Drosophila melanogaster: one gene and its partner. The protein of the gene in region 2 interacts with the protein of the main gene of each other region in a pairwise test. Each region holds a gene or a part of one and is shown on either strand. Other genes may lie near its edges.

Evidence for each region. The genes of interacting proteins can lie anywhere in the genome.
Region 1: the proteins of sala (region 2) and CG7044 interact in a two-hybrid assay, tested with the Drosophila melanogaster proteins (one large-scale study listed by BioGRID).

What each region holds. Positions count from the first base shown.
Region 1 is NT_033777.3:21,097,723-21,103,377, forward strand, and holds CG7044 (uncharacterized protein), read right to left. Parts: upstream 3,997-5,655; 5' UTR 3,851-3,996; coding exon 3,727-3,850; intron 3,657-3,726; coding exon 3,473-3,656; intron 3,413-3,472; coding exon 2,068-3,412; intron 2,004-2,067; coding exon 1,799-2,003; intron 1,741-1,798; coding exon 1,568-1,740; intron 1,501-1,567; coding exon 607-1,500; 3' UTR 507-606; downstream 1-506. Other genes in the region: Tbc1d22 (TBC1 domain family member 22), read left to right, coding at 4,555-4,939, 5,001-5,196.
Region 2 is NT_033779.5:11,482,906-11,487,455, reverse strand, and holds sala (spalt-adjacent), read right to left. Parts: upstream 2,750-4,550; 5' UTR 2,425-2,749; intron 2,276-2,424; 5' UTR 2,242-2,275; coding exon of another isoform or gene 1,729-2,241; 5' UTR 1,702-1,728; exon of another isoform or gene 1,673-1,701; intron 1,375-1,672; 5' UTR 1,247-1,374; coding exon 1,235-1,246; intron 1,165-1,234; coding exon 748-1,164; 3' UTR 507-747; downstream 1-506. Other genes in the region: CG43355 (uncharacterized protein), read right to left, coding at 1,729-2,241. UniProt on the Drosophila melanogaster protein: Likely to be involved in the establishment of the head.

The DNA.
Region 1 (5,655 bases), on a different chromosome or scaffold from region 2:
AATATTTATGCAGCAGTGCGTGCAAATTCGAACGCGAGACGATCCGCTTTTCGCTGCATCTATGCGCTGAAGATGTGCTGCAGTCGATGGGCTCGTCGATAGTGGGAAGGCTCGGTGCCGGCACTATCGATTCCCAACACCATACGATAATATCGGCTAAGTTATCAATATCGAAGTTTACTATATTTCGGGTTTTTGCGTTTTAAAAATTGGCAAATCTACCTTATACAACATTTTTGTAAGAAGTAAAAAGTAGTTTCTCTTATGGATGCATCGATAAAAACTCGGCTCACATCGCTCTAAAAGTGTGTCACCACCAACAGAAAACCAAAACAAACACGACGCGAACAGTGTGACCAGCACACCAAAAATTAAAAAAAGGAACAAAAACGTTTAAATATGGGTCGTCTTGATTTGAAATATGTTTAGTCATTTAAAACATTGTTTTGTTACTGTATTGTTATTTATTTTATCTGCGCCGGCGAAATAAAATCTCATTTTATGTTCAAAACGTAGTTATCAAAAATATTATCTATTTCACGGAAAAAACTTTTAGCTTACTTCACAGAGAGGTTTTTTTTGACTGGAAAACGGCTTAGCTCGGAATTAGTAACAGTCCGAAATCATGTTCTCATCGTCGCGCTTCAGCGCACCGAGGATGTCATCCAGCAGGGAGGTAAAGTTCTCCTTGCACTCGAACCACTCCTGGTGCTGCTTAACCAACTGGTCCAGGTCAATGGTCTTGAGCTCCTCAAAGAACTGCCGCAATGGCACCGCGAACTGCTTATAGTAGAACTCATCGATGTGCCGCTTCTCCGCTGTTTTCCCTTGCGCGTTTATCTGCATCTGGGTCTCAAACGCCTTCTCCAGGAGCTGTGCATCCTGCGAGTTCAATATGGACTCGATGACTTCGTCCGCCTCGGTGGGATTGACCGGTGGCTGCTGTGGAATCGGAGTTGGCTGCGGCTGGGACGGGAAGTCGAATCTTGGCCGCTCTCTGTCTGAGAGCGGCGATCTCATTTCAATCTCCTCCATTATGCCCTTGTAGCGCTCGAACTTCTCCGTCATGGTCTTGACGCCTTTAATGAGGAATTCCAAAACCTCCATTGAAGTCTCCTCGCGCAGGCACTTGAGTAGGATGCCAAAATATCCGTACTGCTGTACTTCACCAAAAACTTTGGCAATGCTGGTTTGGATCTCTTTCTCCGTCAGCGTGACAATCTTCTTCTGCTCCTTAGAGAAGGTCACTGTGGGAAAAGAGCCATCTATCATGCCCTGATTGCTAAACTGGCGGTAGAACTCGCGGCGCCAAAAATTTAAAGCATTCAGCTTCACCTCCGTGTGATGATCCCCGATTACACAATAGTTGAGGGTTGAGAAGAGGGTGTTCTTGTACTTCTCGTGGATCTTGCGGTGCTCGTAGATCTTCATCAGCGTAATCACGGCCTCGGATCTCACGATATCGTTGGTCTCCCGATACATTACAAACAAAAGATGGTCCTGTCGAGAATTCAAAGTGTTTAATTAATAATTTTTTCCGAGTATATGTGTAAATAGATTAACTCACTACAAGATCGAGCTGGCTTAGACCATTCTCCCACAAAAGGTTTATGGAGACCATTTGGGAAAGACACTGGAAGGCAGACGCTCTTACATAGACTTCCGAGTCATTCTTGGCCATTTCGTAAACTATCGGGGGTATCTTTGAGTCGATTAGAAAGCGTTGGAAGGCGGGAAACTCTGTAGAAGCAACGTATCATTAATGTTAGGCACTACGTTAAGATAATCACACGCTTACTGATGCGGGAGATACTGGCTATAGAGGTGGTAAGCTCCAGCGTTGTGTCACGCACCTCCCACATTGTGTCGTGCATTCGCTTCACAATAATGGGACCCAGACAGACCAGCGCGGAGCCCTGCAAGTTGTCCACCAAAAGAGCCATGTTCGGTGAAAGGAAATGCTCCACAGCGAGTTGGACGAGCTTCAGCGCTTGGACAGTGCACTGCAAATGAAGAATCACATTTTACTATTTTAACCCGCTAGAAATGAGAGTTTGTTTTGCTTACCCTAGCATCCATGCTTGTGTTCTCCAGGACAAATGCCAGACAATTGACCAGGCCAATGGTCTCCACCGACTCCTTCCACGTGATCTTAAAGCGTTCGATCAAGGTGCGCAAACCCACCATTACGGAATGCAAAACTTGTGGATCGTTAACGACCTGTTCGGTGCCCCGGGGGTACAATTTTAGGTAGGAGCTGCCCGCGCTGCTCACGCTGTGACAGTCATCCTCCCCATTATTTGTGATGACACTCATGGCCACTGCCTCGCGGAGCACATATAGCAAAGCTTGGCACACAGTAACCGCCTGCTCTCGATCGAGAACGTTTTCCAGGGCCAACAGGCTATGTATGCACTTGTTTGCCAGGCCGGCCGTCACCAAGCCAACAGCCATGCCGTCTGCAGAAAAGAAGTTGTCCCGCATTGTGTAGCAGAGCCGCAAGGTCTGTTCGCAGGAGATCTCCAGCAACTTGACAACATAGGCGTCGAAGAGCTCTATCTTGCTCTCCTCGTCGGCGATCTTCTGTGCGTACTTCATGGAGAAGAGCAACGGCAGCATGTGAAAGCAGATTAGCTGGTTTTCAAACGTAACGCGCTCTTGTTGGATGACAATTTCCTTGGGCGCACGAGGTCCAAGTTTTTTCCAAAGTACATGATTGAGCTCCGCCAACTTCACAAAACTCAAGCCGTCCTTGCGGGTAATAAGGAATTTCATGAGATTAAAGAATGCCAACCCGAACTCGGTGAACTCCTCCGACGGCTCGGTGGCGTTCGGATTCAGCAACTTTTCGTGCAACAGCAGGGCAAAGTTGTAGCTGCTCAGTGTGGTGAAGATCTTCTCAGTAAAGTACGGGTTGTGGGTCATATCGATCAGCTTCCAAACGGTAATCTCGAAGTCGTGATGCTCCTTGAGCAGGATGATCAGAGTGGTGCGCTCCTCGAGCACCAGCGTCTGCTGTAGTATGTAGGACAGTAGATCCAGTGTCGACGAGATCTTGTGCAACATCTCGTTGTCGTCCACCTTGACGTGGATGCGCTCCACGCCGTCGGTGTTCTTATAAAGATTGTCGTGAATCGGCTGCATAATCTCCGACAGAATCTCCAGGGTAACAGCCTTATCGTGCAGCTTGTCGCAGGACTTGTACACCATGTTGTAAAGCACTTGGCGGGCCTCCCGCACCACGTACAGCGTGTGATCGTTGTTGGAATACTGGATGAGCAGCGTCCAGATCCGGTGCATCCGCAGAAAGGCCAGCCCCATGCTATACACGGTGATGGCTTTCATCAGACGTATGCCACCTAACTTAATCGATGGGCTTAAGTTGTGTTCCCTCTGTAGTAGTTTCACTGCTCTAAAATGGTAGTCGATTATTTTAAGAGATTAGAGCCTGGTTTTCTATCCTACCATTTACCTGTTTACTATATCAAGCTCTCTTAGGCGCACGATCATCCACTCGTTGTTCGCCAGAAAACTGGTCAGATTCAGCATGAAGGATATCACCTTCGGGTGGATCTTTTTGAAGTCCTCGGTCACCGCCGTGATGCACCTGTCCACCCATTCCACCACGAATGGGGCCTGCAGCACAAAGGCATTCTCTGCGGACAGATGGGATTCATTTGAGGATTTAAGGGCAGATTGCGGGGCCACTCCGATTGGTAAACTCACCCTTGGCCTGCAAGTGCGTGAGGAGCTTCTCAAAGTAAACATTGTTCGTAGTGGAAAAGTTCTCGCGTAAAAATATGTCGAATATCGTTCGCAGGCGCGACAGCGTCTCTTCTTGCTTTTGCATCTTGCTGTTTCCACACTGACTGCTTAAATGGCGACTGCCCCTTATGGCATAGTTTTGGAGCTTGCAATTGATCCACCGAATAATGAAATCGTTGATTGCGGGTTCTGGTTCTTATCACACCGAAAGACACTTGTTTTGTATTGAGTGGCCGTGTACGTTTGCAGTCGAAATCCAAAGCGCATTCGCCAGGGTTGCCAGGTGAGCGGTCAAAGTCACGCATCGAAACATATAACGGTGCATAGTTTCCCTTTTATTCTTTGCTAATAAGTAATACCATTACTACCATTAATTAAAATTACCTAATTATACTACTTAATATTGCAGAAAGAAGAACTCTGTACAAAACATTTTCGTTATGTTTATACCTCAAAGATTACGGTCTTTATTAAATATTTTTTAATTACATACCTTTTTTCCATATTTCTAAAAGCTTTTGCATAGAAAAATGTCTTGAATTACGAGTTTTCATTTTTAATCATTTATATCTCTTGATCGACTCGTCGGAACTATACTAGGTTCACTCTTCTCCACAAGTAATGGGTATCAATATGGTTCGGTTTCGCACCAGTCACTTGATCACGATACGCTCTCATCACTACCAAGAAGTGTCGTGCGGTGAAAGCCGTAAATAGTTGCCATGGTCACACTGTTTTTGATGCAAAATAATATAATGACGCTGACATAGAATCGGCTCTAGGGAACGTATGATGGATAACAATGTAGAGCAATTAGCAGGAAAGAGCCAAACTGAAACAGCCGAGTCCACAGCAGCAGCAACAGGAACAGCAGGAGCAGGTGTAGCAGTAGTAACCGTGGCAAGTGGAGCCGGACCAACGCCCGGCGCAAACTCCTCGACCTTTTGGAAAAACAGCGGACGTCGAGTGCCCGGACGACCCAGTCCCAAGCGGGAGCTCGAGAAGGCGGCGGCAGTTGGGGTAGCGGTCGGTCGCGGCGCTGCCCCCGGATCTGGCATGGTGTCCACCTTCACCGAGTACCAGAAGTCGGTGAGCGATGCCTGGGACATGGGTGACGACGAGTTCTGCATCATCAGCAGCACGGAGGCGGCTGCCGCGGCCGTTGGAGCTGGCGGTGGGTTCCGCAACCCCGATGGTTTTCCTCAACCTCTGATCTCGTTTTGATCCCCCAACAGATGCGGCTCATTTCTCCCGGCAAGTGTCGCAGACGGTGGCTCTCAACGTGATCGAGACGCACTCTCGAAGCAACCAGAACCATAATGCATCCCGGTCAGCAAACGAAAGTGGCGCAGATTTGGTCCCAGTCAGCAGTAGCTCGACGGACGACTGCAAGGAAGACCGTAGATCTCTGCCGGACAGTAATGAAAACAGGTGAGCGGCGCCAACTCAACTGGGAAGTCAAAAAGAAAGTTGAACCCAATGCCTGCAGTTGTGCAAATAAGTCAGGGGTGTAGAGCGGATCGAACCCGCTTTCTGAATTATTTCCTAGGTGCTATTTAAAAAGCATTAACGTGTTTATTATCAAAGTAGAAACTAAAGATATGAAGAATTCCGTCATATGGGAGTTGAAATACTTACAATAGATTCAAATTTTGAAACGGTACTTTACAATATACAATATACAATATTACTATGTAATTAGGTTAAAATTACCTATATATGTTGTTAATCATTGGGGCGCTCCTAACTTATTATTGCCATTCGCCACGTTTTAACGAGTATTAACACCAACTTGGCAACCGCTCCTGAAGCATTTCACTTTCTTAACTGATAGCCACTCCCAGCTATTCCCACAGAGCAATGTCGGGAGACGCGGAACTAAGACCGAAA
Region 2 (4,550 bases):
AGGAGAAAAATTAATTTTATCCTTTCCATTTCCGTTGTTGCGCGCATCAGTGTGTGTGCGGTTTTCCTTCTCACTCTTTCCTTGGCCGTGTGGGTGGCAGTTTTTCCCGCACATTTTTTTTAGTTTTCTTCAGCTTTTGCATTATTTTAACGTGTGCTCTTTTTTCCCACCCTCACCTCGACTCTATTTTTTTTCCTTCGTTATAAATCTTGAGGTTGAGCACTCGACTGGACGCCATTTTTTATTTTTCACCTTCAGCCCCCACCCACCTGAACCCCACCCTTTACCATTCCCTCCCCATTCCCCCTTTTAGTCGGACGTCGCTTATTTTTCAATTCTGTCAGCTGCTTTGGTCAGAAAATGTCGCTTGGGAGCGGTCGACGGCATCCTTTTCTCCGATTGCAAAAGTTGAGATGGGATGTGTGGGGTATATATGCTTGTATGCTATCTGCAAAATAATTTATAGATGCCTCAACCAAAATGGACAGAGTAAAGGGTTCCGTTTCCTTATTTACTTTTTTATTGAGACTCCGTTTTTTTTTTCATTTTAGATACTGAAATTCAAGAAGGCACGTTGTATAGTGGATCTCAAGGGGGTTTTAGATAAAGAATCACTTTTACAAATCAATTCTGGACATTAGATACAATAGAGACTTCAGAAACAAGCAAGTGTTTCTTAAGAATTTACGGTAGAGAACTATAGCATTACATTCCTTTAATTTTGTCATGGGTATTCTCATATTTGTACTAATGTCTATGATGTCCATGATGTTCGTGGTGTCCATGGTGCTCATGATGTTCACGGTGATGATCGCCATGATGTTCCGGATATTCATGAGGATTTTCGTGAAAATGACCGGACTCAACTGGATTAGTTCCATGGAAATGGCCAGATCCCACAGGACTTCCGTAACCAGGCTGATATTGGTTTGGAGAACCTTGTCCAGCGAATCCTCCTTGACCCGGGTGGACTCCGCCTTGACCAATTCCCACCTGGCCACCAACTCCACCCTGTCCAGTGAATCCTATTTGTCCACCAAAACCTGCTTGCCCGCCGATTCCTCCGAATCCTCCAAATCCTCCTTGCCCTCCATATCCTCCTTGTCCAACTTGGCCGAATCCATTCTGAGCGTTCACAGCGGTCACCAGTGCAAACAGAGCAATCTATAGTTATAAATTTGTTATTATAAAAATATTTCTAAGTTAGTTAAGATTTCTATAGTAGAAGACGCACCAGTAGTTTCATCGTGGCTGAAGTTTCGGTACTGAGGCGGCTCTAATATTTTTTTGATTTTTATACCACGATTTGGTAATATCAAGTAGGTAGCTGAAAGGTATTCTACCTGGCTGAGGGACTTAAGTTTGAGTCTCTACCTGTAAAAGGAAATCACAGAAAAGTATTGCCGTCAACATCTGGTTACGATGGAAAATAAAATAAACCAGTTTATTGGAAGAGGGAAAATGGAAAAACAGAAAAATCCGGAATTGAATAGAATACTAATACTAATTCAGTACCATATTGAAATGACGGAAATATAAAGGAGTTTTTAAATTATTTGTTTATTTATATTTATTTATTTGATATTTGAAAAGTTTTTATCAACATAACATTACTCGATTTTTTTGATCAGGAAAATCCGGATAATATAAAATCATTAATAAGACATTACTCAGATACAAGATATAACATAGTGACTTTACCTTTTTTGAAACATTTTCTACTGTTGTCTAAATATCAATGATTTCGTATTTATTTTTTCCAGGTATTTCATCAGTAGGAACTTCGCCACCGGGAATTGGAGATTGGAAGCTGCCATGCTGATCGTCGTTTGAGGTTTCGTTGTGAGGTCTTTCGGTACCAGGAAATCCACTTTGAGGTGGACCGCCTCCTGGGCAACCGCAATGCGGACACCCTCCTGCTGGAGATCCAGATGGTGGGGGGTGGTGTGAAGAAGGAGGCGGAGGTGGCGGAGGAGGATATCCCTGCCAATGGTGGCCACCATACAGATATCCCCCTGGTGGTGGATAATGGGGCGGTGGTGGAGGTGGACCGTATCCCTCCCAAAAGTGACTTCCATGTCGATGGGGGCGATGAGGCGGTGGTGGAAAAGGCTGGTGCTGGTGTCCGTGTCCACAGCGTCCACCAGCACCATGTCTGCCACGATGGTGATGATGGTGACGAGGGGGAGGTGGACCTCCGTGTGGGTGATGTCCTCCTCCAGAAAATCGCCGACAGCCCATCTGATCGAGTCTCAGATGAATTTAGAGCAACGATCTGAAAAGATGTATGACTAATATTTTTGAGAACAAGATGCATTTGAATCTTTTTATATGCAAAAATTATTATATATGTTTATACGTCCGTTGTACATACATATGGTAAGCTGATAAGAATATTTTCTATGTATATATTCATTGACTTACATTTTTTCCTATTTCTATCTTAATGGAAACAATATACAGTAAATAAATGTTTGTTTTGCAACTGGTTTATTTTAGCGTACTTATTAATACGTCATTTATTTGTTGCTTTTAATAGCTAAAACAAGTTAGAATTCGATTTGTTGACGCAGTGGCCGAATTCATTGATATATATAAGTCTGGATATTTTTTTCTCTATCAATAAATATTTTAAAGAATAATTCCTAATACAAGTAAAGGCAAAAAGAAAAACCAGCGCACAATTAATTGCTTTGAATTTTGTTGTTTTGAACACAAGAATTGGATCAGCTGCTTAAATGTTATTTACAATTTAGAGTGGCATTGTATTTGGTTGCCAAAAAATAATATATAGGTTTATTTTTGGAAGAGTTGTTTGTTGATAACATATCGCCGCCAAAAATACTACAAGTTCAAATGCTTATGAGATTAAAAGTAAATTCGGAGGTGAAAAGCAACCATTTAAATAAGCAATATTGTTAAACTTTAAAACTGTGAAAATTATATTTGATTATCTAATTACATTTTCAATCTATCTCTTTATTTGTGGAGTCTAGTGATAACCAAAGAATTAAACAACTAAATCGTCTTAATTTCCGAGAAGCTGCTTAGCTATTATTATGCCTACGCTTGCCTTAAGTATTTATCCTTGAGTAAGGAAATCCTTCTGGGCGGAAAGAAAATCCAGCGGCATAAAGTTATGTGCCCAGGGCCAAAATTTTAATTCCAAATTTAATTTTCAGCCATTTTCCTCATTTTCCCCGGATGAATTTGTCAGGGCGTGTCGCATTCGGAAACCACTCGCCGGGGAATGAAGTGGAGACAAAGACATCTCGGGAAAAGGAAACATTTTTTGGCTTATGCCAAAATTACATCAAAAAGCGCTGCGGGTATGTAGGTATGTAGACAGACGTGGCAATTCCCATCTTAGGATTGAGTAAAGTGGCAAAAGGACGAGGGGCAGGCTGGAGCTGAAGGATTGCTGAGCCTTGGAAGTGGCAGGGAGTGAATGTCGTGAAGATATGCCAGGACCCTTGGAGAAAAGTTGAGCGGACCGAGGAACAGGGTTTGGTGATTGCTATCTTCATAATGACTTTGAAGTGTCAAACAATTTTGGGGAATTATCAACGCCCGCCTCGTCTTTCGCAAAGGTGAAAATGAAAATTGTACTTTTTGTTTGACTCAAACTTGATGGGGCCAAACTGAAGATATAATTATAATTTAATTGAAATGAAATTGTCGCTTAAGTCGAGTAGAAAAGGAATGGTATTGCGGCATTGGTAGACTCCAGGGGTAAAGCTCTCAACTTAATATTTTGCTGGCTAAAAATTTGGGCAGATGCGAAATACTCTTGGCTGAGCTGTAAAAGTGAGTCAATAAAATACACAACTATTTGCGCACCAATTTAATATGCCACATAGGCAAGTTAAAGGAGTTCGCCCAGCTCAAGTTTTCCGAGGGATGCGACAAAATACATTGGGTTGACAGAAGCCCATGAAGGGCCAAAAAGAAAAGCACACCGAGTTTCTGAACAGGTCCGAACAATGTCCGAGGAAAATCAATTTAATTTTTACTCATGTTCATGGCGTGACCCCTCGATAATCCATGGAAAAGGGGACGAGGTCGTCCTGCTGCTGAGCCGCCTGAGGTGGAAATTTCACTTAAGTCACTTTCAACTTTCGCAAGATGCCATCAAAGTTGGCTCCAAAGTTACTGGTCAGTTGATTTTTCCACCTCCTGGGGCGGCGGCCATTACCACCGATATTTACATTTTACCCAACCCACGGGGAAAACCTTTTCTCGAACACGATCTCCCCCAGCGCTCTCCAAACTTATGAAAAGTTTCGGTGAATTTGCGATAATGCTTTTTTTGGCTGGTGGTATATACATTTAACTTCAGCGCACGTGTGTCAGCTTTTCATCATATACTCTTCACAATTTTCAAACCGTGAAGTGCTTTTTCATGAGACCAGAAGAAATGAGTAAAGTTTTTTTTTAAAATAATTTTTTATATATTTTTTATCCCAAGAGCTTCAAGTTCTATTATAATGCCCAAAAATGTAACGTATGTTTAAGTTAGTTCATATACGAATATGCTCCTAAAGCATATA